7 linked regions of the Ovis aries genome follow. The protein of the gene in region 5 interacts with the protein of the main gene of each other region in a pairwise test. Links are inferred from orthologs where the notes say so. Each region holds a gene or a part of one and is shown on either strand. Other genes may lie near its edges.

Region 1 (4,104 bases), on a different chromosome or scaffold from region 5:
GGGCGAGAGGGGAGATGAGGGAGGGAGAGTGGGCAGGAGGCCCAGGGGAGCCTTCGTGATGCCCAGGAGTGGTGATGCCTATCGGTGAAGCATGCCAGAGTCATAACTCTCTACTTTGCAATCGGCTGTGGGGCACTCAGGGGGCTTCCCAGGGGGCTCAGGGGTGAAGAATCCGCCTGCCAAGGCAGGAAACGTGAGTTTAATTCCTGGGTCGGGAAGATTCCCTAGAGAAGGAAATGGCAACCCACTCCAGCATTCTTGCCTGGGAAATCCCTTGGACAGAGGAGCCTGGTGGGCTACAGTCCATGGGGTCACAGAGAGTCAGACACGACTGAGCAGCTACACAGCAACATGGGGCACTCTATTCATCCACCACCCACCCAACTATTTATCTACACGATTGTACAGCCACACATACACCATCATATACAATGCACACGATTGTACATGCATACATTTGCGGGCACACACATGGTCACACACATATATCCACATTCTTCCAGCCAATCATATGTACATACCTACTATCATGTAACATACAAATATACTCCTATACATTCATCTGTCCACCGAATCATTCATATATGCATGCAGACATACAGTCATACCTACGCACATTCACCAGCCAATCATAAGCACACACATAACAGTCATGCCTAAGCACAGTTGTAAGTATATACACACAATAATGGGCTTCCCTGGGGGCTCGGATGATAAGGAATCTGCCCGCAATGCAGAAGACCCGGCTTTGGTCAAGGGAATGGCTACCCACTCCAGTGTTCTTGCCTGGAGAATTCCATGGACAGAGGAGCCTGGTGGGCTACAGTCAGTGGGATCGCAGAGTCCGACATGATTGAGAGGCTGACACTTTCACCTCACATACAATGATACATACTTTCATCTTTCCGATCTTATGTACATATGTACACACATTATCATACAAACACATACACATCCATATATACAATCATATATGCATCATACATATATACAATCAAACACACATATACATTTACCCATCCATGCATCCATCCATCCATCCATCCGTTCAGTTATTTAATAAACATGTATTCTTCTACTCCTTTGGGGACACACCAATGAAGCTGACATTCTACTTGAGAGAATGAAAGAAAGAAAGTTGCTCAGTCGTGTCTGACTCTTTGCAACCCCATGGACTGTAGCCTACCAGGCTCTTTCGTCCATGGGATTTTCCAGGCAAGAATACTGGAGTGGGTGGTCATTTCCTTCTCCAAGGGATCTTCCCGACCCAGGGATTGAACCTGGGTCTCCCGCATTGTAGGCAGACGCTTTACTATCTGAGCCACCAGGGAAGTCTTGAGAGAGACAGCATATAAATAAATAGTAAGGAAGGAAATCACATAGAATTTTAGAAAGTGATAAATGCTATGGGAGGACCAATTGAGCAGAGTGAGGGGGAGTAGCAGAGTTGGGATGGCGGGAAAAAGCTGCAGCTTCTAATGCCAAGGGCGGTGGAGGTCTCATTGACTGGCAAGGTGACTAGATTGGTTGATAAACAAAGACTTGAACAGGGTGTAGGGAATATATCTTCCGGGTAGAGGGAACAAAGAGTGTTCTTGGTGGGAATGCTGAAGGAAGGACTGGGGCAGTGCTCATGGAGTAGAATGAGAGGGGATAGGCATGCCAGATAGGAAGCCAGCGAAATTACGGGGATGAGAGATTAACAGGACACTTCAGCCCTTCCTCTGTGACCTCTCCCTCTTTCCTCCGCTCTGGATCCCAGGGACCAGAACACCCCACCTGAACCCTGGACTCAGGCAGGTTGATCTTCAGAGCCACCTCCTCACGGGCATACACATCCGGGTACTGAGTCTTGGCAAACAGGGCTTCCAGCTCTTCCAGCTGGCTTCGCGTGAAGGTGGTCCGTTCCCGCCGTTGCTTTCTCGGGGCGCCTGGGGTGAGGACAGAAAAACAGGACTGCTGGGTGACCTGAGACCCCATTCTCTGCATCTGCTGACGCAAGGTCCTGAGAAGGCATGGGATGCTAACAAGCCTCTTCTGGGCGTTCATCTGCCCAAACTAAGGGGGTGCTGATTCCCTCAACTTCTAGACCTCACTCTGTCCCCCTGGGAAACGGGTTCTCCCTTTGCGTATCCTTAGGGGGGACTCTTGCCTCGCCCCGAGGAGAACTGGCTTTACCTGTGTAAGGAGGTATCTGAGTTTGGTTTTCATCCCCTTTCTAAAATTCCTTCTGCACTAAGACATTCACTTGAAACATGACATTTGGGATATCCAGCCGTTTGGGGATATCCAGCCTATAAAAGAGGCAGGACCGTAATGGTCAACTTAACAAAAGGATAATACCATCAAAAATAGAACGCTTCCTTCGCTAAGAAATAAAGCATCGCTGACAGATGGGAATTCCTCTGGGTCCCCCTTCCAGATGGTTTCCCTCCCTCACCCGAAAGGGAACCACTGTCCTAAATTTCTATGAAGATCCACACGCTCTCCTGCATCCCTAAGAGATGTGGGGTGTGCTTTGCATTTACAGATGAGCCCGTTTGGCTGGTGTATGGCCCTGATGTCATCCTTGTAAGTACCCATCCGCTTCCTGAGGGCAAGGGACTCCAGAAGGTGGGGGCCAGCAGGGGGTGGGGGGGCAGGGAGGATGACTGTACTCACTTGGGTAGGACACAGCTGGGTGCATCAGATCCACACTGGGGCCACTCAGGGCCAAGGCGTTGACGGAATAGTGGGGCCCCGGGTTCATATACGCCATCATGATCTTCGGGGATGCTGGGGCCCAGGTCAGGGGGCCTGCGAGAAAAGGATGGGTGCTCACAAACTCCCCAGTTCATCACCGCCTCAGTCTCTTCCTAGATATGTGACCTTGGGCAACTTATCCCCCCAGTCTGTGCCTGGGTTTCCTCACCTATAAAACAGCCCTCTGCTTAAGGTCGTCAAAGCATCACTGGGACTCTATAAAGCCAAGATCAAAAGCTGTAAGGAGCATTCTAAATGTAAGCTCCTATTCCTACTCTATCCTTTAAAAGATCTTCTGACCAACTCCCTTGTCCAAGACCTTTCCCCCACCCCGTGTGTTAGCGTCAGTCACTCAGTCGTGTCCGGCTCTTTGCAACACGTGGACTGTAGCCCTCCAGGCTCCTCTGTCCATGGGATTGTCCAGGCAAGAACACTAGAGCGGGTTGCCGTGGCCTTCTCCAGGAGATCTTCCCAACCCCTAGGACCTCAAAAAAGATGTTCAGCCTCACACAGAATCATGGCAAAGTAGGGAAACTGGTTGTCTCAGTCTGCCGGGGATAGAGAGCTTTCTAGGGGTATGGGATTTCAGTGACAAATCTGAAAACTCCCAGACAAATCAGGATGGTTAGTGACCCCAAGGGAGTCACAGTCAAATGACAGCAAGTAATGATCTCCCATGACTATTTTTGACCCCATCAAGTTGGCAAAGATCAAAGAGGCTTGGTAACTCCAGGGATGGCCTCAGAACAGGCTACTTGTGTCAGACGGGCGACAGTGTGGATGGAACAAACTGCAAACATTTATCAAAGAAAAATGCCGTCTTTCCTTGGTCCCAGCAATTCACCTTCAAGGTGCCTCAGCCACCTCATCAGAAGATGGGAACCAACAATACAGCTTACATCTTTAGGTCGATGTGAGGGTCAAATGAATTATTGTGCATCTGATACTTAAAATAGCACCTGACTCGCAGCAAATGCTACAAACCTGTGGTGGTTATTATTATCTGCAAGCAGACGTTTGCACAGACTTTATGCTCGGATACTTCTTATTGGAGTATAGTTCACTTACAATGTCGTGTTAGTTTCTGGTACGCAGCAAAGTGATTCAGTTCTGTATTTCTTTAACGTTAGTTTTCACTACAGGTTATTACCAGAGCGTGAATAGAGTTCCCTGCGCCATACAGTAGGTCTTTGCTGTTTCTCTCCTTTATATATCATAGTGCGTTTCTGTCAATCCCAAACTCCTAATTTACCCCTCCCCACCCAAGCTAGGATTTTTAATGCAGCATATTTATAATTGCCGCAATGTGGAAGCACCCTATACATCCACCAAAGGAGACATAGTAAGTAAGTTATGGAATTT
Region 2 (3,329 bases), on a different chromosome or scaffold from region 5:
CCTCCCACCACTGCAGCACCAGCTCCACTCATTTGTGGGTGTCAGGCACTGTGGGGGGGGGGGCATCTGAGGCTGTGACCCACATCTGGGAGAGCAGCAAGGAGGCTCCTGGCTCTGGGTTTGGGCAGGGGCAGCAGGCTCACTCAGGACCCCTCCAGCCCAGCCCTGTGACCTGGCGCAAAGACCCCTACTCCCCAAGGACCCCACAGCCAGTCAAGCCTCCAATGAAATCAGACACTGTGACAAAGTCACTTTAATGTCTTTGCTCACGAGACGCCCCAGGACACTGGCAGGTGGACTCAGTGGGCAGGGAAGCATCAGGAAGGGGCCCCTGCAGCCTGTTTCTGCTCAGCAGTGTCCACGTGCTGGAGGCCAGCAAGAAGGCCCTTTGTGGGGTGTAGCCACAGAGCAGGCTGGCCCTTCTGGTGGCATCCCTGCTGTCTGCCCGAGGGCAGCAGGAGCCGAGGCCCTTCAGTTCCATCCACAACACGTGCAGGGCTCTAGAACTCAGTCATCTTCTTGTGAGTGTCGGCCTTCCTCTGTTCCCGCTGCAAGCCTGCCTCCTGGGCCCGGAGCTGCCCCAGCTGCCGCTGGGCCCCTGCCAGCTTCTCCTGCAGCTGGGTCGTTGTCACACTGTGCCTGGAGAGGGGCCCACATTCAGCACTGCCGTCCGCCTCCAGCCCCTCCTCAGACCCGGCCCGCCGCCCCCAAACTCTCTCAGGGGAAGCTGGGCAGGGGTGAGGTGCCTGGGGCAGGGCCACACATACCGGCCAGCGTTGCGGGCAAGGGCCTCCTGGATGCCCCGGATGGCTCGCTGGGTCTGCTCAATCTTCTCCTCGGTCTGGAGGAGCCGCAGGCTCAGGGCCCGTTTGGTACTCCTGCTGGCATGGTATACCTCCTTGCCACTCCTCCCGGGGGGTGCCGCCCCCACCTCTGGGGCCCCTGGAGCCCCGCCTTTCAGCTTCTCGTTCAGGAAGTCAAACACACTGCGAGGAGGTGGGCGGCCCCCAGGTCCACTCCCTCTGCTCCGGCACTTTGGGGGCTTGCTGACACCAGCCTGGCCAGCCCGGGTTCTCTTCTGCAGGATTTCTGCACACTGGTCTAGTGACTTCCCACGTGGCAGCACCACAGCATGGACGGGCTCCACCCGGCCGTCTGCACGACGGCCCAGACCTAGGGGAACACCAGGCTGGCATTGCCACTGGACCCCTGGGCCATGATGTGGAGTCCCTCCTGTCCCCAGGCAGCACAAGTGCACTCACCCTTGCCAAACTCATAGCCCATCTTGGCGAGGAGTCTGGAGCCAATGCCCCGCGTGTGTACCTCCCAGCCGGCAAAAGCGGAGCTGCAGGTCCCGGGGTTGGCAGCACCAGGTTCCACCACTGCAGGTATCAGAGGGCAGTGGCTTAACCCAGCTAGATGCAGAGGATCCTGGGCTCCAGCCAAGGCTAACCCAAGAGCTCAGCTCTGCACAACCAGCCCCCAGCATCCCCAGCACCCTGCCCAGGGCATGTGGCACAAGCAGAAGGCAGAGCCTAGCCATTTCCACGACCTGGTCACAGGATGGCACCCTTCCACACTCCCTGTTCCCTTGTGGAGAGCAGTCCTCCCCTCCATCAGTATGGACAATGCGGCTAACAGACCCCATGTGGGCACCCCCACCCCTGGGGGGAGGCTAGACACTGACAGCCGATCCTTCATCCAGCTAACAGGTCCCCGTGCCCTGCAGGAAGCTGTTCCTTCCTGTGCATCCCATCCCCTCCCGCGGCTTGCGTGGGACTATGGTTTCTGCGTCTGTGGGTCTCTGGACGTGCCCCAGGTCCATCACACACCCTCGTCTCCCCGGGAGTGTGTCCTTGTACTGACCACAGTGTGGGCCCTGCCAGCCGGGAGCCTCTTGGGGGTGGCAGCAGCCATACCTCGAGCATAGCTGGGGTCGTCTGCATCGCTGCCGTCTGAGTCAGAGGACCCTGCAGGATCTGTGCGCAGTGGGGGCAGGATGCTGTCCCCTTCTACCACAGCCTCTTTCAACAGCAGAGAGTCAAACTTGACTGTGTAGTAGCCGCTGTCTACATCTGGAGGGGCACAGAGGCAGCAGGGCAGCACACGGAAGTAGCCGCTCTGGAAGGTGGGAGCAGGGTGGGGCCAAAACCAAGGGGGCCTTGCTCTTCTCATGTGTGGGGTGGGACCCCAACACCCACCCAGAGGAGGAGTCACGCAGGACTAACACATGTGACACATGAAGAGGGCTTCCTGGGAAGGGCCTGTCAGGGAGGCCCCGGGGCAGCCTCACCAGTGATCCGTGCTGGGTACCACAGACCATCCTGCCGCTTGGCCAGACACGCAGAGCCAGCCTGCAGGGAGCTCAGGTCCGGGTCCTGGAAGGGGCGCAGCTCATCCACTGAGACTACCTGCCCGTGCGAGAACCTGCAGAGAGGGCCGCATAACTCAGGTATGGCCACCAGGGTCCCACAAGCCCAAATAATCCAGTCTACCTGCCTGGACACCGTCCAATGGAGATATGAATGGAGAGAGGGACACATAGGTCCACACAGACATCCACAGACACGCATATAATACACAATTATGCGCATCTACACCGAACACATGTATACACACGCAACATCCACACACACATGTACACATCCACACATATACACTCAACATGTACACACACACATCACACGCACACACACCTACACACATATACATGTATTCACATGCAATATACTCATGCACATATGTACACACACCCAGATGTATACACTGAACATGTGTATAAATGTGTATGCACACCCATACCTATACACGCATACATATATACACAGGCACACGTATAAGTGCACTCATGCACACATGTATGTACACACATGCATGGACACAGAGGCACAGACATCCACACATGCACCATACACAGGCATACACACACTGACTACACACAAGCACACAGATACGTGTATGCACATGTGCGTACACATGCACACGTATGGACACACACACTGTGCTTGTGCTCTCTCAGATGGACCTGGGTGCCCCAAGGACTAGAGGCTTCTGGTTACTCTCCAGCCTCCTGGGCTAGAGTCACCCACACACAGGCACACATGTGGCTGGGAGACACACTTGCGACAACAGTTCCCTGGCACCTCTCCGCTGGACACAACAGGTCATCAAGACAGGGGGTCTGCTTGCGTCACTCGCAGGACTGAGGCCTCCCCAGCCAACTAGGAGGACCTGGTTGTAATGGTGCTGCCTTGTCTTTGTCACTGAAACAGTGACACCAAAACGAAAACCAGGAGAGAGGAGGTGGGACAGGAAGTGTGGGAACAGAG
Region 3 (4,131 bases), on a different chromosome or scaffold from region 5:
ATCAGTATGACTCATATTTTATTAATAACTCAAAGCTGATGAGAATAAAATTAATCAAAGGGAAAGATAATTCATCTTTTAGCCTGCTTTTACCTTATCCAGTAGGTCTTAAAGCACTTCCTGACCATTTCTCAAGGACAGGAACTTTGCTGTGAATATCATGTACACCTCCCTGCCCACACACACTTACAGAGTACTGGACTGTGGTGGTTAACTTGCCTGGTTTCAGAGCCAGGTAAACACTTAATCTTGTGTCTTGAGCAAGTAACTGGTACCTCTACTCCTTGGTTTTGCCTTTTGTAAAACTTCCTAGGTTGTAAGAAGGACTAACTAAAATAATCAAAGTGAAGTACTTAGTCTAGGGCATAGTATCAGAGAAGGCAATGGCACCCCACTCCAGTCGTCTTGCCTGGAAAATCCCATGGATGGAGGAGCCTGGTAGGCTGCAGTCCATGGGGTTGCAAAGAGTCCGACGCGACTGAGTGACTTCACTTTCACTTTTCCCTTTCATGCATTGGAGAAGGAAATGGCAACCCACTCCAGTGTTCTTGCTTGGAGAATCCCAGGGACGGCAGAGCTTGGTGGGCTGCCGTCTATGGGGTCGCACAGAGTTGGACACGACTGAAGCAACTTAGCAACTTAGCAGGGCATAATATAAACAATAACAGCTAAAATTGCTTTCTGGGCACTAGCTTAAGCTCTTTATAAATGTCAGGTCACTTAGTTAAATAACAACCTGTCCTCTAGGAAGATGTTATACTACCCTCATTGTGCTAACGAAGGAAACAAGGTTCAAACATCATGGAGCTACTAAGTGGCAAGGTTCAACTGTCACATAATATTGTATAAGAAATGACTTGTGGTAACTGTAATTATGCTTGCTTTCAGTAGGATGCTTACCAGAAGATTTTTTAATTCAAGCTTTTCTCAATTTTGAAGGGTTCTAACCATCTAACTTGATTTGGGATAAAATTTCAGAGTGATGCAAGATACTTAATAGTTAGGTCAACAGGATGGCACGTTTACCATTTGTTGTTGTTATTGTTTTAGTCACTAAGTCATGTCTGACTCTCTGTGATCCCATGGACTGTAGCCCACCATGCTCTTCTGTCCATGGGATTCTCCAGGCAAGAATACTGGAGTGGGTTGCCACTTCCTTCTCCAGGAGATCTTCCCAACCCAGGGCTCGAACCCACGTTCCTACATTGGCAGGCAGATTCTTTATAACTGAGCCACTAGGGAAGCCCAACATACTTAACATTCCCAACTTTAATCATAACTTCAGCTTTCTTAGGTTCACATGGAAAGAACTAACGAAATTTCTGAACTGAAAGAGTGGGCAAAATATTGGTGTCTAGTTAAGGAGCATGGTTACAGGAAAATCTGAAAAATGGGACGTTGTCTGAGTCTACTGCAAACTACTTGTGTAAGTTACCAGCTCACAGCATCCGAACTTCCTCTCCTGTCAGATGAGGGGATTTGATTAAACCAGTGACTCTCAACTGTGCTATAAGTTATATATTAGCATTATCCAAGGAGCTTTCAAAAAATACCCAAGCCTGGGTGCCCCCAAAGATTCCAGTCTAACTGATCTGGAGTGAAGTCATGACATGAGAAGATTTGAAAGCTCCCCAGAGATCCTGGTATGCAAAGAAGGTTGAGAACCACAACATGATTTTGGCTGTCAAATCATACGGCTACACGGGCATCTAGAGATCACAGAGACCAAACAGACATACCTGAAGCAGAATCTTGTTGCCGTCATAGTCCTGTGTTTGCCACCGGGTGCGGCTGATGGGGACGCAGGGATGGGGTAGAAGAGGCACTAATTGGCCAATCTCCTGGACCTTGAACTGCAACACTGAAGCCTCTTTGGGGTCCACCGATGTTCCGAGGGGCAGCTGCTTCAGGGAGAGCTGCAGGGCAAAGGTCTCAGTGGAGTAGAGCACGAAGAAACAGAAGTTGCTCTTTTGCAAGGTGGCTTCTCTCTGCAGGATCATTGCGTAGAGCCGGATGGCATCTTCGTAGTTATCAAAACTGCAGTAGAGTGTCACTCTCAGGATCTCGGTGCCACAGTGCACCTGCCTCACGCCCCAGATGGGCATCTGGCTGTCCAGACTGTAGAATTCCTGATTGGCAAGAATGTAGGGGCAGGGTCTTCCCTGGGCGTTCTGCGTGGGGTAGCACTGCCACGGCCAATGCTGTAGGGAGTCAAGCACGCGGAAAAGCCTCTCTTCGCCTAGGTTCTCCTGCAAGAAAAGCAGAACAGACATCCCCGGGAAGCGTGACCGCTTGGAGTAGCACTTGTCGTAGTATTTCACTGGACTGGCCCGCTCGGACACAAGAAAGAGACGGATATCTGGGCAAATGCAATCTAGGAGCCGATCCAGGGTTTGCTGCAAAAGCAAGCCCTGCCCCGCGTTGGCCAGGAGGTGGACAGTCATGGCCGGGGCCTCCGGTATCTCATCCATCGTGGATGCTGAGGATGACAAAGGATGCTGGCGAATGGGGCCCGCAGGTCCGGCTTCTGAAATGAACTGGAGGGGTGGGAGGTTCCTACATTCAGCCTTCAGCCCAACAGGAAAGCTTCAGGACTTCAGAGCCACGCTCTTATCCTGTATGCCTGGTTGCTGCTGGCCACACTGTGAGAGAATCTCCACAGATTCGGGGACAATAGCCTCCATGAGACACACACCAGCAGCGGGGTCCATGTCATCCAGCCGGTGTATAATGTAACTGCGAGTGCAGGGCTGTGTCAGGCACTCCGGGGTTTCTGTTTGACCTAAAAACCTATAATCCTGAGAAACACTCGAGTGGGTGGTTCTTACAGACACTCGGTAAAGGAAATGACCAGGCAAAAAGGAATAAGAATCGGCTGTGAGAGGCTGATAGCAATCTGTTTAGTTGAAAAGACATCCATTTTCTGGGCCCACAATGGGTTCTGGTTTCCTCCTTCCCTCCCTCCCTGTTTACAGTAGCCCGCCAGGCCACCTGAACACAATGACTGCTTTAAAACAATCCTCCCAACTTGTCCCTTGGCCAGGAATTTTCCCCCTTTGTCTTTTTATTTTCTTCTTGAACAATGGATGCCTGGGCTTTGAAGAGAAGTTACTATATCCAAATAATTTTAACTGTTCACTGAAAATGATTCTCTCTGCTGCCAAGTGTATTCAAAAGATATTTACTCAAGCCCATTCTTTAGAAAGAGTGAGACCTTTCTAAGGTCAATAATAATCTTTGTTCACTCTGTTGAGGATTTACTACATACCAGTCATAAACTGTTCTAGAACTTTACGTAAATTGGTTTAATCCTCCAGCAAACCTATGAAGAGACCATTGTCCCCAAATTACTGAGAAGGAAACTAAGGCACAGAAAAGTCACGTAACTTGCTTAAGGTCTCAGAGCTAAAAGCGGCTGAGGGAACATTTGAATCCAGGAACTGAGTGAGTGGCCCCGCTGTGAGCCAGGGAGAAGGTACCTCTCTGGGACCCAGATGTCCCAGACTGGACTTTCTCCCTGAATATAAGGAAAGGCTGCCCAAGCAAGTTCTCATTAAGGACATTTATTTCTCAGAGACTCTGTGTGCTGTTGAATCTCAAACTGAATAATCCTCAATAAGAACATCCAAGCTCTAAATATACAAACTTCCCTGATGGCTCAGATGGTAAAGAATCTGCAATGTAGGAGACCTGGGTTCGATTTCTGGGTTGGGAAGATCCCTTGGAGGAAGGCATGGCTAATACTCAATAACACCCAAGCTCTAAACATAACACCTACCCTAATGTGTTCTAAATATCCATTTAAAAATCATTAGGAATTCTGATAGCTGTGCTACTAAAAATGTAGACAAGCACATTTTTCTAACTGTAATTTTTAAAAAGCTATTTATTAATGCTTTTAGTGCAATTCAGGAGACCCCAGTTCAATTCCTGGGTTGGGAAGATCCGCTGGAGGAGGGATAGTTTACCCACTCCAGTAATCTTGGGCTTCCCTTGTGGCTCAGTTGGTAAAGAATCTATCTGCAATGTGGGAGACCTGGGTTTGATCCCTGGGTTGGGAAGATCCCCTGCAGAAGGAAAAGGGTACCCACTCCAGTATTCTGGCCTGGAGAATTCCATAGACTGTATAGT
Region 4 (4,076 bases), on a different chromosome or scaffold from region 5:
AACATCAAAGTGTTAAATAAAGGCAGCATCAGCATCTGATTTTTGCAGCAGGTTCCGGTACTGCTCAGCATGGCCTGGTTAGAGATACTGCCTTTGTCTGAAGTTTTAACAATTTTGTTCATCTTGGGTTTTGGACATTAATTTTTTTTAATCTTTTTTTTCTTTGGTTGCACTATGAAGTATGAGAGATCTTAGTTCCCTGACCAGGATCAAACCTGTGCCCCTGCATTGGGAACACAGTCTTAACCACTGGACCGCCGGGGAAGTACCATTTGGGCATTAATTTTGATTTTTTTTTTTCAATTGCATCAAAATGCTCTTTTTCTTGATCTCTGAGTGTTTTGGGGCTTCCCCTTAAATGCTGTACACAAGGTGAGGACCTTCTTGCTTCACCCTGGTCCCAGCGGTAGTGGGGCAAAACATATCCCTGGTCCCCCTCACAGGGCAGGGCTGGCAGGAAAGTCTCCAGGTAAGAGAGGTGACAATCGCATGAAAAATGAAATAACAGCTAATAGGCATTGAGTCTATAGGCCAAGCACTGCCCTCACTTCCTCCCGACTTTCCTTTCCTGAGCGCCCTAACTGTGCTGAGTGCCCTCCCAGACGTGGGATAGAACAGACGTAGAGATGCTTCCCGCACCATACAGAATCCACATCCCGGTTTGGGGAGAGACGATAATATAACAAAATCCATAAGGATCAGCAGAACGTGAGGTATGCAATGCTCCTGGCTAAAGACGGAGAGGTGGGGGGCTGGAATGAAGAAAAGGAGCTCTGAGCCTTGTTTCAGGCACAGTCACCGAAACAGCACGGTCACCCAGGAAGGAGAGGTGCCGCATGGCCCCCCTCGCAGACGGGGGAACTGAGGCAGCCCACCCAGGAGCGGGCAGGGCGGGGCTCCCAGCCTGGGGCCGAGCCAGGAGGGGGCGTGGGGTGGAGAACCGCGGAGACCCCCAGCAGAACCGGGACTTTCTCCACTCAAAGCGACCGCCTTGATGGTACGTTGGGCGGGACTGTCTCCGCCTCCCTAAAAGGCGAAAGGCCAGGTTGGCTCAGCCCGGCCGGTGTCCGCCCCGCCTCCTCGCCATGGACCACCCCGGGGTGGGCCCTCTAAGGCCGTCCCCCGGGGCTGGCAACGTGACCGCTCGCCCTCAAGTGTGCAAGTTCATTCATCCAGGGGCCCCTGCTGACTCACGCTTATGAAAGTGATTTTCCTGGCCCCGCCCTCCGCCCGCCTCTTCCCAGCCCCTGAAATACCCGGGCTTCCCGTCTCTCGCACCCTCTTGAATCCCTACGGGGTAACCCGGCTCCCTGACCCAGGTTCTCCGAGAGGCCTGACCGCGCTCCCCAGTGTCCTCGACCCCGGCCGGTCAGGTGAGTGACCCGGGCGAGGCTTGGGGGAGGTGGGAGAAGGTAGCCCGACCCGGGCAGGGCCCTGGGGCCAGGCAAGGGGACCCCAGGCGGTCCTGAGGGCGGACCACCCCGGCTCCCCATGACCAGCATGACCCCCCCCCAACCCCCGAGATCCTCCTCCCCCCCTCCTGGCCATGCCCACCTCCAGGTGCCTGGCACCCTCGCTGACAGCTGCCCTGCCGGCTGGCTTGCTGGGAGTTCACCTCAGCCCACGTGATGCTACTCCAGGCAGGAAAGAGAGGTGTGGCCAGCCCAGGCCGGCTGACCAGGTCCCGCGGGCAGGCTGGGTGCTGCCCTCCGTCTCCGCCTCTCCTGTTCTCACGGACCGAGCCCCCAGGGTCGAGGGGGACCTGGCTTCTCACAGGAGGGTTGGGGGTACCGAGAATGAGGAGTGGAGTTTCAGAGGGTCTGGAGAGCTCTTGGGGCTCCAGATGAGGGAGGCTCTGGGGGCACTGGTATCAGGGGGTGGGTGCAGAGGCCAAGGGCTCACTCTGGTGACTGGCAGGTGGCACTTGGGCTGGCGGAGCACCTCCCCATCCTCCTCTGCCCCGGCCTCACGGCACTTTCTTGGGGGCACTGTTGTGTCATCTTCCTCAGAGGGGACTCCGACAGGTGTCACAGGGCAGGGTTTGGGGTGTGGTCTCTGACATTCCTGGAAAAGACACCACCCTCCTGACCCCAGTTTTTCCCTTTGGGCAATAGGGATAACAGAAAAAAAAAAAATCCACGGGGTGGGGTAGGAGGGTTGTCATTAAAGTGAAATGAGCAAAAGTACCGCAGGTGCTCAGTAAATGTAGCCATACAGGTGTCCTAAGCCTTAGAGCAGTGTAATCTTCAATAACCCTAGAAATTGCAATGCTCCAAACTCTACGCTCCACACCCAGGAAGGTGCAATTATTCCCATTTCTTTTACGCTGCTTTTCTCCTGTGAACTTGAAGGCCTTTTTAATGTCAACATTTGCCGTCTTCAACCAGAGGGACGTTGGAAACTGACCTTCCCAGCTCCCCAAAACTAAACAGTGTGTGAGAAATAGGAAGTTACACTTTCAAATGGAAAGTTGGCAGCGTGCACTCTTCCGAGGAGGTTTTGAGAGCTCCAAGTCTCGGGACTTGGGCCCTGTGTATTGCGGTGCAGGAAGCAACCGCTCAGGTCAGCCTCTGGGTGGTGACCTCATGCGTGTGGCATCCAGAAGTTTCTGGCATGAGCACTGGACGTGGGGTCCAAAAGCCCTGGTGGTGAATGGGGCCTTCTCCCTCCTGGGAGCGTGAAGACAGGCAGCCTGCAGTGCCTCCTTGTCTATAAACGGGGGCTCCTGCAAACACCCCTCTTACTGGCGCTGGGAGGATTCACAGGGACAGGGCAGAAAATGACTTGTCCTGGGGTGGGCGCTCTGTGGGTACCCCATGTGGCAGGCTGTGGGGTGTCTAGGGACCAAACTCTTGATTCATTATCCACTGGCTCTCTGACATCGGGGGCGTGGCCTCACTGCCCTGAGCCTCAGTTTGCTCGTCTGTAGAGTGCTTTCCCTGAGGATGAAAGGCGCCGATGCGAAAGGATGTCGTGACAAGGATGTCACCTGTTCCTGGGGACAGTGAGGACATCAGCGTGGAGCCCTGGGCTTGTGTGAAGGGAGTGTTCTAGGAACCACAGCCCCTGCCCCAGGGCCACCGGCACACCCAGCGGCTGGCCAGTGAGACGCTGTCCCCCCCCCCCCCAGGTGGAGCACTGGGACAGAGCTGCACTCAGCCTGGAGGGGCCTCCATCACACGCTGTCACACCCCGTGACACCCTGTCACACTGCCTCGGGGGGCACGAGAAGGCCCTCGCACAGAGCAGCCCAGGCTCAAAACCAGTTGAGCCGGCACCCCTTGTGGCAAATTCCCCGCAAGCCATCCAGGACGGTGAGACACTTGCTGGGCCTCAGCTTCCCCATCTGTAATATGGGTGCGGTCGTGAGAGTACTTCTAACAACCCGGTTAAATGTGGGTTAAGTTGGTGAATGTGCGTCAAGTGTTCAGGGCATGCTCAGCACCCGGCTCAGCCCGCAGAAGTTCAGAAATGTTGGTTGTTCTATGTGGCTGTGGTGTCACCCCAGAGCGGACAGCGGGGTCCCTGCAGGGAACCAGGAGTGGAGTGGGGCAAGGGGTCCCTGATGGGGGATACAGCTCATGGCCCAGGCCCCACTGAGGCGGTTCTCTGGAGACCAGAGGGCACACCCCCCTGTGACACTGCTGCCTCCAAGCCCCCCCCGCTCAACTGCCAGCCGGAGATGACGGCGCCCGCCTCTCCAGGTGCCTGCGGGGCACAGATGCTGTGGCTTAGCTGCAAGCTCCTCTCCTTGCAAACTGTAAAGGCTGTGGGCGGGCCCGTTGTCAGTGCCGTGGCAGCGACACCCAGGTCCTCTGGCCAGACCCCCCGGCTGTCCCCTCCCCGCCCGGTGGGGGACACTGGTGTTGCTGTCACTCTTGGCACATCAGAGGTCCCACGCTGGCCTCGGTCGTGCTCCCTCAGCCCGTTCAAGATTTGCAAAAAACGTGAATCAGTTGCATACTCTTCCAAATCAGGGAATTCACATAAAAATCCGGATTTAAGCTTTTTCCTGGAAGAATTCTGAAGGCGGGTGATGCCAGGCTCCCATCCCTGGCTGCTCGGGGCGGTCTGGG
Region 5 (2,881 bases):
TGCCCTGGGGCACACAGATGCCTACAGAGGGGTGGGGCTGAGGGAAGTTCAGGGTCTATCTCCTCCCAGCAGACCCCCGGGGGCTCTGCTCACCTCTTGGGACAGGTAGGGCAGGACCTGGGCACATATCCCATTTAGCCTCTTGACGATTTCAGCCTGGAACAGACAGACACTTCAGCCCTGGGCAGCAGCCAGCCAGGGCAGGTGCAGACCAGCCCTGGAAAGCCCAGCGGTTCTGTCTAATCCAAGAGGAGGCCGGCAAGTCCCAGGATCATATCGACTCATCAGGCCCATGGGCACCCGATCAGCAGCAAAAGTGGCCCCGGGGGCTGAGTCTCTGAGGGTAGCTAAGAGCCCAGGACAGAGCGAAATCCAGGCCCAGTGGCTTGGGGTCTGGGTGGCCCTGGAAAGATGCCCGATGCCTCACAGGTAGTGAGCATTCCGTGAGAGGGAGGGAGGAAGAGGTCGGGGCAGCTGGCATCAGAATTCTCTAACACACCTGAGATAGGGTTTGGAGGGTGGGTTGGCAGGTCATATCACCCCCCTCCCCCAGGGCTGTCACAAAAGAGAGACAATGGAGTGAGGGTGGCAGGTCCTGGGAAAGCCTCTGCCCTCCCCCTCAGGGAGAGCAACCTCCCAGGGAGGCCTGAGAAAGAACAGAAGTGGGGGGGCTCCGGAGGTAACAGGATACCAAGGCAGTCTTGGTTCTCAGCCAAGGGGTGGCGGGTTCCTACCTGCCTGGGCGGGGCAGGGGGGCGGAGGAGGGGGGAAGGGGGCATACCTGCTTGTGCATCTCGATGTTCAAGCCATAGGACATCTCGTAGTACTGTGTAGGGGGGAGACAGAAATGGGGGTGGGTGAAGGATGTGAGGTTCCAGAGACAAAAGACACAGGGGAAGTGACAGAGAGAGACAAAGAGGGGGAGAAAGAGAGAGGTAGGAGGAGGGGAGGGCAGGCGAGAGAGATGGAGTCGGAAGCGGGGAGACACCCACACCTGGAGCTGGGGCCCAGGTGCCTGGTGAGGATGCTAGGGACGCCAGTGGGGCCCTGAATGCCCCATTTCTGGAATAATGACCTCAACCCCTACACACACACACACACACACACACACGCACGCACGCACGCACACACACACGCACACACACACAGGCACACACACACTCCAAGGCTCCTAATCTTTTATCTTTATGTGTCTTGTCTGCGGGTGGCCCCGGACTCCAGGGAAGTTTGTCTTCCTGGGTATAAATAATCGAGGATAAACAAATCCTGTTGGGTCTGCCTTTGGGGCCAGCGCCCCCCCTCCTCATGCCCCACATCTGACCCTGCACCTCCCCTGCTCTAAACCTTCCTATGACTCCCCATCACCCCCCAGGGAAGATAGGGGGAGAAAGCCAGGTTTGTGTGGTCTCCCCTTCTCTGCCCAGCTGGCTCCTATCCATTCATCAGGACCCCAGCTGCAGTGCCTCCTTCTCCATGCAGTCTTTCTCCAAACAGGAGCATACCCTTCTGGAGTGCCCCAGCCCCATCCCTCTGAATCCAGAGGTTCCTTGTCCAGCTCTGCCTCCCCCATGGCCTGGGGGAAGTGGGCTCTGGGCTGGGCTTAGGCAGGGGTTTTGATGCAGAAATCACCACCTGGTGCATATGAAGCGAAGCAAGTGATTCCAGCAGTGTGCAGGGGCAGGGTCTCCAATGTCAGGCCCAAGAAGGAAGTGTCACCCCCTCCCTCCCTTCCACCCACCCACCTCAAAAGAGTGTCAGCCTCCTGCCTGGGGAAGGGGGCCCTCCAGGAGTCCTCCTCCAAGCTTGGACTAGGAGGGGTTAAGCCTGGGATGCTTAGACAGTGGGGGTGGGGAGGGGAGGGATCAACAACCCCCCTCTAACCCCAGTTCCTGGCTTTCACAGCCACTGGCTCCTCCGCTGCCAAGGACAGCCAGGGACCTGGCAGGCCCAGGCCGCAACCCGGTGGCTTGGCACCTCGGCCACTGCCTGGGCCGGCAGCCAGGCCAACAAGATTAACTCAGCCCGGCCAGGGGCTGGCTGAGCGGAGAGCAGACCCTGACTTCTCGCACATCCCAGAGGAGATGGCCAGGGTTCAGACAGCAGCTGCCAGTGCTGGAGGGGGACCTGGGGTCCTCTGGCCCTGCCCACCAGACCCCCGGGCTGGCTTACCATCACGTAATGACGCTGCATTTCTGACTTCTCGCTGGCCAGCTTGTCACATTCGAGTTTCAGACTGAAGAAGAAGAGGGGGAGGGCCAGGGCTGGGATGATGTCCCCCTCATTGTGCAAGGGAGCCCCAAACTTTGGTGGGGGTCAGAGAGAAGAGGGGGGAAGGGGACCCAAAGGTGCCTTAGCTGGAAACTGGGGATGATGAAACCCACCTTGAAGATGTGGGGGTGGAGAAAGCAATGAAAATAATAAAAACAGAAGTCAGAGCAAATATCCTGACTGTAGGTCAGACAGGGATTCAAAGAAACTTTTTCCTATCATGAAATCCAACGAGGTCAGGGCTGTTAACGTCAGTCTCCTTCATAAAAATGATGCAATGGATGCTCAGAGAGGTTGAGTGAACAGGCTCAAGGTCACACAGCCAGGAAGCTGGCTTCAAAGGCCATACTCCCACCCACTGGGCAAAACTCTCCAGCAAAGAAGGAATAAACAGACATTGCTGAGAGGTTACAAGGGCCCAGAGCCCACTGGCAGGGCTCTGGACTGAATTCAGTAAGGAATCTTCAAAGGCCCCCAGCCCATCTTGTGACCTCTGATTTCCATGGTTGGGGGAGGGGTATAAATTTCTATCACTGGATAATAGAGCTGGTGATCCCCCTCCTCTCTTGGGTTGCCCCAGCAAGGATGAGCTTTGGATATTTCTCAAAGGCCC
Region 6 (3,500 bases), on a different chromosome or scaffold from region 5:
GGACTGATGGTGAAGCTAAAACTCTAACACTTTGGCCATCTGATGCGAAGAGCCGACTCATTGGAAAAGACCCTGATGATGCTGGGAAGGATTGAAGGCAGGAGGAGAAGGGGATAACAGAGGATGAGATGGTTGGGTGCCATTGCTGACTCAATGAGCATGAGTTTGAGCAAGCTCCAGGAGATGGTGATGGACAGGGAAGCCTGCTGTGCTGCAGGCCATGGGGTTGCAAAGAGTCGGACACGACTGAGTGACTGAACAACAACAAGAACAATTTAAATGTGGAAGCCAATTTAAACGCTTTTCCAACTTTTATGTATTATGTCAGGTGGAATTTAAAAGAATCCCTTTAGATGTTAGATCCACCTCATTCTGGTCATCAGTCTCTTCCAGAGGAAACCGTTCATTTGCCTGCAATCTGCTCTAGTTCAAAACACGCCTTTCTACACAAATACGTCCATCATCATCTATAATTTGCTAAAAGAGGACACTCTGCTTTCACGATTCATTGAAAACACCTCACGAACTTCAGGATGTTCAACTCACAGACTGTCTCACAATGACATTCTCTTACCTCCTGCAAAAACTTCTCACTCATTGGACTGAAGGGATGTCCTGGGGGCTTGATCCCCGACACCACTAGTCCGGAGCTAAACACCCGGGGCCTCTGGAGGTCTGGCTTGAACTTCTCGTAGAGGCCGGCAGCCGGCTTCAGGTCGGCACCCGCCGCCTTGTCCTCTTTGGGGAGAGCCACGCTGCACGCAGGCGGGGCATAAGGGAGCCCCACAGGAACCAGCGACGCGTCCACCTGGCCGAGAGCCTGCGGGCTCCTCCGGATGTAGGTGATGATCTTGGGCCTCACGTGCTTGGGCTTGGGCATCACGACGGGCCTGGGTTCCGCCCGCTCTTCCCTCTTCTCAACCAGGGGGCCCACTGTCCCCTCCAGTGAGGCGGGTGTGTCCTCAGGACGGGGAAGGCCCCCAGGGCAGGCGTTCTTGGCAGGCACTTTTGGGGAGGTGTGTGACAACCCGGTGCTGTCAGCGGGAGGCAGGGCAGCCGGGGGGGACCCTACATCCACACTTGATGTGCCCAAGTCCTGAAAGCGGCTGCTGGGTGGCGGGGGCTGGCGGGCCACATTCACAGTTGTCTCTGGGTGGAGGGACGCAGGGACACCAAGAAGGACATCTGCCCTCACTGGGGAGGTGCTTTCAGTCTTTACTGCAGGTTCTAGATGGTTCCTGGTCTCTGCAAGAGATAGAGAGACCTCTTGGCCTTCCTCGGCTTCTGAGCGGCTGCTTGGAGGGTTGGGGGGCTCAGGGACCCCGGTTTTGCTCTCTCCAACAGAGGAATCTGAGTCAAAAACCATAGTGTTGACACTGTTCCCACCTCCCAGGACGCCTCTCTCGTCACTGGCAACAGAGGGCTTGCTGTCAGTTGAATCTCCAGGAACAAAAGCTACATGACCATCCCCTGCTGACACGCCGTTGGGCACTGTTTCACCCAGCTTCCGAGCTGCACCTGGCAAACTTATGGCCATGGGTTGCTGATCCGCAGCTTGTGAGGAACCGGGGCTCGATTTGAGGGTGGTTCGGAGAGACCCGTCCTCACCTCCCTTCTCTGGCTCATCTCTGTCTCTTATTGTGTCCAGGGGGTGGGGAACGCTGTGTGCCAGGCTGCTTAACCCAGCAGCTGAGGCTCCTGGCTGCGCCTCCCCAGCTGGCTCCTTTCTCCCAAGAGGTGACATGCCATGCCCCTGACGACACCCCAGCTCGCCCACCTGGGTGGACTTGAGCTCCTGCACAGCCCTGGGCTGGACAGGTTTCAGCTCTGTCTTGGGCTCCACTTTTCCTGGACCCACTTGTGCTTCTGGCCTCCTCAGGACATCCTTTGAGGCTGGAGAGCAATCAAGAGCACCCTCTGGATGGGCAGAAGGTGCTGTGCTCTGGGCGCTGAGCTTGGGTACCCGTCCCCTCTCTGGATGGGTCTCTAAGGGGACGGTCTCCATGGTTACTGAGGTAGATGGTTTAGGATGACGTGCGCCCTTTCCCTCTGAGGTCCCGTCCGCCGGAGGACAAGGCAGCCCTGGAGAAGGGGCTGTCCCCATCTTCGGCGGCCCCTCGCCACCGCCAGGCACCGGATGCGGGGCTTCTGGGGACCCCAGCCCTGTGGGTTGTGGAAGCGGCCAGGCCAGGCCCCCAGCCCACTCCTTTGTGAGCACGTCCACTGCTGCAGCAGAACTGCTGCATCTTTCCAAAGGATGCCTCCTCAGTTCCTCGTTGTCAAGGGTCTTGGCCAACTTATCCTTGGCGACAGGCCAGGGGACATCAGCCTCCCGCTTAGCTGGAACCTCTAGGCTGGACTCGCCCATGACAGTCCTCCGACTCGGCACACCTGGTCCCTGGAGACCACGAAGGACCTGCAGGTGGTCTGCGCCTCTCTCCAGCTCAGACTCTTCATTCCGTTCTCTCTGAGCCATCGGAGAGAATTTAAAATCCTTCAGGCCGGTGGGGCCAGCCTGAGATGCCTTTGCAAAGCCCTGAAGTGGGTGAAACTCCTTCGGGACACGGGGACTACTCTCTGGTCCCCTCGAATTTGCATTTCCAACTTCCTCTGGCACAGCACACGTGGCAGGCTTGTCAGAAGAGGAGCCAACCTCCAACACAATGGGGTTGGCATTGGCATCTCCCAAACTCAGGACTCGGTCGTTATTATTTTTTGCTCCATTTCTGCTGTCCCGCAATTCACTGTAACATGACTTCTTAGGCGCCACGGGAACGCTCATTTTCCAGCCGTCAGTGGGGGCTGCCTGCCATGCAGTCCTCCTTAATGGAAAAGGGTCTCCTTCAAGCTGCTACCTGGAGAAGAGGAAATTCTCAAGCTGCTTGTTGCCCCCTGACAGCGTCACTGGGGCGATCCTGCTTTCATCATTTTCAGAGCAGTCTTAAAACTGAGCATTGTCTTCACACACAGAAGGATGACTTATCTGTTAGGTTCCGGCTGAATGAGAGCCAATTAGTCCATGAGACCTAGAGAGAAATAAAAAGAAAAGTACAGTAGATTGACAGAAACTCTCGGTAAACAGATTTATTCATCACTTTCCTACCATTACTTCATTCACTCAACCCAGATGCTATTTCTCCAGAGCTTTTCTGATAGGGGCACGGCAGAACATAACATCGAAATGATTAATGTTAGAAATGGATTATAAACACACATTAAATCTTAAGTTTATATTTTAAAAATCCACAAGTTCACACTGATACTGATTTAAAAGGGCGGACGAGAAAGGAAGGTTTTTCTTCACAGAAGAATACCAACTGATACAAGAAAAATTAGACAATTAGAAAAATCACCACTTTGTATTCACCAGAGTAATAATTATCTTGGATGAGGGACACCAACGGTTGCTAAAATCACCAAGTGCAGAACTGTTGGGAAACAGGATATTTACACAATCGTAGAGCACCACCCTCCAGACTGCTTTATTTCCTACAAAGGAA
Region 7 (4,156 bases), about 12 Mb from region 5:
CTCCAGCAAGGAATCAGAATCGGTGCCATCGATGTCAGACGGGAGTGAGATTGCAGCTTGCCCTCCATCTCCTATTGCTGATAGTCCTCCAGCTTCACCACATCTCACCTCCTCTCCCTCCTCCAGTCGGCTACTCTTCCTGACTGTTCATTTGATGCCAGCCCCTGTATGCCAGCTATTGTACTGTACTACTGTACTTTTCAAGGTACTGTGCTGTAGGACTTGAAATGTTGTATCTTGTGTGTTTGCTTTTTATGTGCAATTTGTGTGAAAAGTATTATTACTGTATGAATAGTACAAAAAGCCAATTGTATTAGTTGAGTGCTTCGACGAACTTTGTTGGACTTAATGAATGAATTGGACTTAAGAACGTGCTCTTGGAATGAAATTCATTCAATATGTAGGGGAAATTACTGAATTTACCCCTTGAGAATACATGGTGCACATTAACATATTAAAGGGTCTGACAAGTCCGGCAATAAAGAACTATGGTGTTAATTTAACCCAAACTTAGACATTAGATTGCTTTTCTCAAGCCATAACATGCTCATCATCATCTCCAATGCACACCTCGTCTAGCTTGTTCACTATCATGGGTCTAGAACTGGCTTAAATTCAATGGTTACAAATATTTTTTTGTTGGTTGGGGAAGTTGAGCGAATGATCTCATTAGATCTTCAGAGCAACTCTATGTTATTGTTGTTTTGTCACTAAATCTTGTCCGAATCTTTGCGACCCCATGGGTTGTAGCCCACCAGACTCCTCTGTTCATGGGATTTCCCAGACAAGAATACTGGATTGGGTTGCCACTTCCATCTCCAGGGGATCTTTCCGACCCAGGGATTGAAACCAAGTCTCCTGCTTTGGCAGGCAGATTCTTTACTACTCTATGCGGTAGGTACTAATATAATTTCCATCTTACAAACAAGGCTCAGAGAGGCCAGGTGACCCGCCTAAGACCACACAGTTAGTGGGTAAAGAGCTGGAATTTGGCCTGAAGTGTGCTGGCAGCCTCTCCCCCACCCTGCCTGTTTCTCAAAGATGCCCCACACCCCCAGTCTCACTGGTGATGGCAAGTGTGGGCTCCCCACTGAGGGCTGCCCTGGGACCTCCCTAAGCCCTTCTCCTTGCCCTGATGGCTGTGGACATATACTCAGGCCGTTGCCCAGAGAGCTTGGCTGTAACTTGAGTCTCACCCAGGCTGGGGGTGATGAGGAGGGTGGGCAGGTGACAGCCAGGGCAGGGAGATTTGCCCAGACACTGGTGAACGGCGGCCTGGCAACCAGGGTGGCCCTGAGGGGATCGGGGCGGGGGGCTTCGGGAGCCTGTTCAAGAGTCCAGGCAGAGGTCTCCACTATGGGCAACAAGCAAACAGTCTTCACTCACGAGCAACTGGAAGCTTATCAGGTAGGGATGATGGACCAAGCCATCGGTGGGTTTGGCAGCCTGGTTGTTTTCTTGGCTGAAGAAATGGGGACAGCATCCCTTCATCCTGGTGGGGTGGGGGTGCAGTCAGCAAGAGGTCTTGGGGTGGCTCTGTGTGTGGATTCAGGCAGCAATGGGTTGTGGGAGAGGAAGGAGGCGCCCCCCCCCCCCCCCCCCCGCCAGGCATCAGGCAGGGTCTGGGTTAAGCCAACATCTCTCTCCACAGGACTGCACCTTCTTCACGAGAAAGGAAATCATGAGGTCAGTCTGAGGAGGAAGGGAAGAAGAGCTGGGCACTTTATATGCTTTGCAGTTAATGGGGGAATCGTGTGCTCAGTTGGTGGATGCATGCAGAGATGGGAAGGCTGCTGAGAAGTCCCATCTGGTCCTATTGCCACATCTCTAGGCTGACAGGCTTGGGCTTTCTCCGAAAGGTGGCAGGGAGCCATAGAGAGTGTGTGAGCAGGGGCGATGTGGATCAAAACTTCCCCCTGAGGCCCAGTGAGAACAGGCTGGGACCCCAGGGGGCAGAGTCTAGAGCCAGCTCTGGGCAATGGGGTTGACATCAAGGTTAGAGGGTGAAGAGGTGGCCCCAGGCTGCTGCAGGTTCCTGGTGTGAGTGAGACAGGCATGGAGGGGTTATCCTACAGCATCACTCAGCCCATGGAACCATTATCCAGATTCCGGACCCATGAACTTTGACCTGTGAAACCCAAGTTGGCTGGGGTTTGACTGCAGAGTGATCAGGGCCAAGGTCCCAATTGTGTGGGTGCAGGACATCCATTATTGATGGGCAGAATTTCCACTAGTAAGCCCCACCGTCTTGGCGAGGACAGTTCACAGGGTCACCCTGACCATCATGATCAGATTACTGATGGGGAAACTGAGGCTCACACAGGGGAGGCTGACCTCAGAGCCCTGGGTAGATGGGTAGGGCCCCAAAGAGTTTGAGGCTAACATTTTGTGCATCTCAAGCTTCTTGCTTCTCACACAGACCTACTGAGCAGAAAGGGGGAAAAGGGGAAGGGGGACTTACTCGAGGCCACATAGAAACCCAAACCCAGACTATTCTCTGAAGGGACCCAGCGGTGAAGTTCCAGATACCCCCCTCTTCCAGTTCCTAGCCATCATATGGCTTCTATCACCTTCTGAGGCATCCCTAACAACTTCAGGATCTCTGGCTCATCAAGGATAGTCTGTACAAGGTGACTGCTCAGCATGTTCCAGTGACGGTACAGTATCACCAGGCAAGGGCATTGGAGTAGACACTTGACCCCACCATCTAGGCAGTGTGTATGGCCTTTGCTGTTTTGCAAAATGCCTTTCATTTACCCCTTGGAGAAACCTGAATATTAGACTTTGTCTCTGGCGCCTTGAGGGAACTACAACCCCCATTATGGAGGCAGAGAGGGAAAGTGTGAGGATGAGGGTCTTGCCAACAGTGTGATGATGTCCAGCAAATCGTAGATTCACTCAGAGTCTCTGAATGCTCAGTGTGAGATGACCTTGCCTTAAGCACTCTCTTTTCTGTCAACCCCATCTGCCTGGTGAGCTCTTATTTGTGCTTCAAAGCCCAGCACCTAGCACCCATGCCCCCTCCTCCAGGAAGTCCTTCCTTCTCCTTGGCTTACTTTCCCCACTCCAGTTTCCCCTAGCTTTGTTTGTTTGTTTGTTTGTTTTAACATTTTAAAAGCAATGAATTGATTTTCTGGCTGCTCTGGGTCTTGGTTGCTGTGGAGGTTCATCCAGTTTTGGTGAGCAGGGGCTACTCTCTAGTTGTGATATGTGCGCTTCTCACTGCGGTGGCTTCTCTTGGGAGCATGGGTTCACAGGTGCGTGGGCTTCAGTGGCTGTGGTGTATGAGCTCAGTAGTTGCCTCATGGCATGTGGGATCTTCCCAGACCAGGGACCAAACCTGTGTCTCCCACACTGGCAGGTGGATTCTTAATCACTGGACCTCCAGGGAAGTCCCTGGGGTCCTGTCTTTACCTTGGCTTTGTCCCTAGGGAGATAAAGGTGTCCCTGTGTGTGAGGGCTGGGCCCAGGGCTGAAGGCTCAGCATCCTTCATTGTAGAGTGAGCATCTGTGAAAGGGAGAGAGTAGAGACAAGCCCACCCTCACTCATCTCCCAGACCTTCTCATTGTTTCCCTCCCCATACCAGGCTCTTCTATCGCTACCAGGACCTGGCCCCTCAGCTTGTCCCTCTCGACTATACTAGCTGCCCTGATGTGAAGGTGCCCTATGAGCTCATTGGCAGCATGCCTGAGCTGAAGGTATGCCCAGGGCCCTGGGGCAGGCATGGGAAAAAATAGAAGGGATGTCCCTTGTTGTATTTCTATGAGGTGACTATTGCAATTATTTCTATTTTACAGGTGAAGAAACTGAATTTCAGATAGGTTGAGACACTTATTTATGATCACACAGCTAGGACATGAGAGAGACAATTCAAACCCTGGGTTGTGGGAAAGATGAGATGAGATAATGCAGGTAAAGGGCTTAGCACAGGGCCTGTGACATGGCAAGTACTTAGGAACATTGCGCTGAGTACGTGCTGAGTCTCTTCAGGCATGTCCATCTCTTTACAACCCTATGGACTGTAAGCCCGCCAGGCTCTTCTGTACATGGGGATTTTCCAGGCAAGAATATTAGAAGTGGGTTGCTGTGTCCTCCTCCAAGGGATCTTCCCAACCCAGGGATTAAACCTGCGTCTCTTATGTCTCCAGCACCGGC

The links.
Region 1: the proteins of TLE5 (region 5) and CRX interact in binary tests that used the Homo sapiens proteins (3 or more experiments, as listed by UniProt). The two-hybrid records come from large-scale screens. The link is inferred for Ovis aries from reciprocal best matches to the Homo sapiens genes TLE5 and CRX.
Region 2: the proteins of TLE5 (region 5) and ZGPAT interact in binary tests that used the Homo sapiens proteins (3 or more experiments, as listed by UniProt). The two-hybrid records come from large-scale screens. The link is inferred for Ovis aries from reciprocal best matches to the Homo sapiens genes TLE5 and ZGPAT.
Region 3: the proteins of TLE5 (region 5) and FAM124B interact in binary tests that used the Homo sapiens proteins (3 or more experiments, as listed by UniProt). The two-hybrid records come from large-scale screens. The link is inferred for Ovis aries from reciprocal best matches to the Homo sapiens genes TLE5 and FAM124B.
Region 4: the proteins of TLE5 (region 5) and OSGIN1 interact in binary tests that used the Homo sapiens proteins (3 or more experiments, as listed by UniProt). The two-hybrid records come from large-scale screens. The link is inferred for Ovis aries from reciprocal best matches to the Homo sapiens genes TLE5 and OSGIN1.
Region 6: the proteins of TLE5 (region 5) and MTUS2 interact in binary tests that used the Homo sapiens proteins (3 or more experiments, as listed by UniProt). The two-hybrid records come from large-scale screens. The link is inferred for Ovis aries from reciprocal best matches to the Homo sapiens genes TLE5 and MTUS2.
Region 7: the proteins of TLE5 (region 5) and CIB3 interact in binary tests that used the Homo sapiens proteins (3 or more experiments, as listed by UniProt). The two-hybrid records come from large-scale screens. The link is inferred for Ovis aries from reciprocal best matches to the Homo sapiens genes TLE5 and CIB3.

The regions. Positions count from the first base shown.
Region 1 is NC_056067.1:54,472,884-54,476,987, reverse strand, and holds the start of CRX (cone-rod homeobox protein), read right to left. Parts: upstream 2,801-4,104; 5' UTR 2,762-2,800; coding exon 2,662-2,761; intron 1,932-2,661; coding exon 1,780-1,931; intron 1-1,779. UniProt on the Homo sapiens protein: Transcription factor that binds and transactivates the sequence 5'-TAATC[CA]-3' which is found upstream of several photoreceptor-specific genes, including the opsin genes.
Region 2 is NC_056066.1:53,738,011-53,741,339, forward strand, and holds the end of ZGPAT (zinc finger CCCH-type with G patch domain-containing protein), read right to left. Parts: intron 2,428-3,329; coding exon 2,294-2,427; intron 2,076-2,293; coding exon 1,920-2,075; intron 1,383-1,919; coding exon 1,263-1,382; intron 1,174-1,262; coding exon 768-1,173; intron 640-767; coding exon 501-639; downstream 1-500. UniProt on the Homo sapiens protein: Transcription repressor that specifically binds the 5'-GGAG[GA]A[GA]A-3' consensus sequence. Represses transcription by recruiting the chromatin multiprotein complex NuRD to target promoters.
Region 3 is NC_056055.1:226,558,936-226,563,066, forward strand, and holds the start of FAM124B (protein FAM124B), read right to left. Parts: upstream 2,801-4,131; 5' UTR 2,472-2,800; coding exon 1,740-2,471; intron 1-1,739.
Region 4 is NC_056067.1:9,817,996-9,822,071, forward strand, and holds the start of OSGIN1 (oxidative stress-induced growth inhibitor 1), read left to right. Parts: upstream 1-1,276; 5' UTR 1,277-1,373; intron 1,374-1,554; exon of another isoform or gene 1,555-1,613; intron 1,614-3,130; 5' UTR 3,131-3,314; intron 3,315-4,076. UniProt on the Homo sapiens protein: Monooxygenase catalytic activity. Involved in regulation of cytokinesis; promotes RHOA activity, probably acting locally at the midbody in late cytokinesis.
Region 5 is NC_056058.1:18,528,392-18,531,272, reverse strand, and holds part of TLE5 (TLE family member 5), read right to left. Parts: intron 2,234-2,881; coding exon 2,170-2,233; intron 827-2,169; coding exon 782-826; intron 157-781; coding exon 94-156; intron 1-93. UniProt on the Homo sapiens protein: Transcriptional corepressor. Acts as a dominant repressor towards other family members. Inhibits NF-kappa-B-regulated gene expression. May be required for the initiation and maintenance of the differentiated state.
Region 6 is NC_056063.1:31,551,565-31,555,064, forward strand, and holds part of MTUS2 (microtubule-associated tumor suppressor candidate 2), read right to left. Parts: intron 3,027-3,500; 5' UTR 2,783-3,026; coding exon 575-2,782; intron 1-574. UniProt on the Homo sapiens protein: Binds microtubules. Together with MAPRE1 may target the microtubule depolymerase KIF2C to the plus-end of microtubules. May regulate the dynamics of microtubules at their growing distal tip.
Region 7 is NC_056058.1:6,625,310-6,629,465, forward strand, and holds the start of CIB3 (calcium and integrin-binding family member 3), read left to right. Parts: upstream 1-1,356; coding exon 1,357-1,407; intron 1,408-1,651; coding exon 1,652-1,686; intron 1,687-3,587; coding exon 3,588-3,699; intron 3,700-4,156. UniProt on the Homo sapiens protein: Acts a an auxiliary subunit of the sensory mechanoelectrical transduction (MET) channel in hair cells. Plays a role in regulating hair cell MET channel localization and function.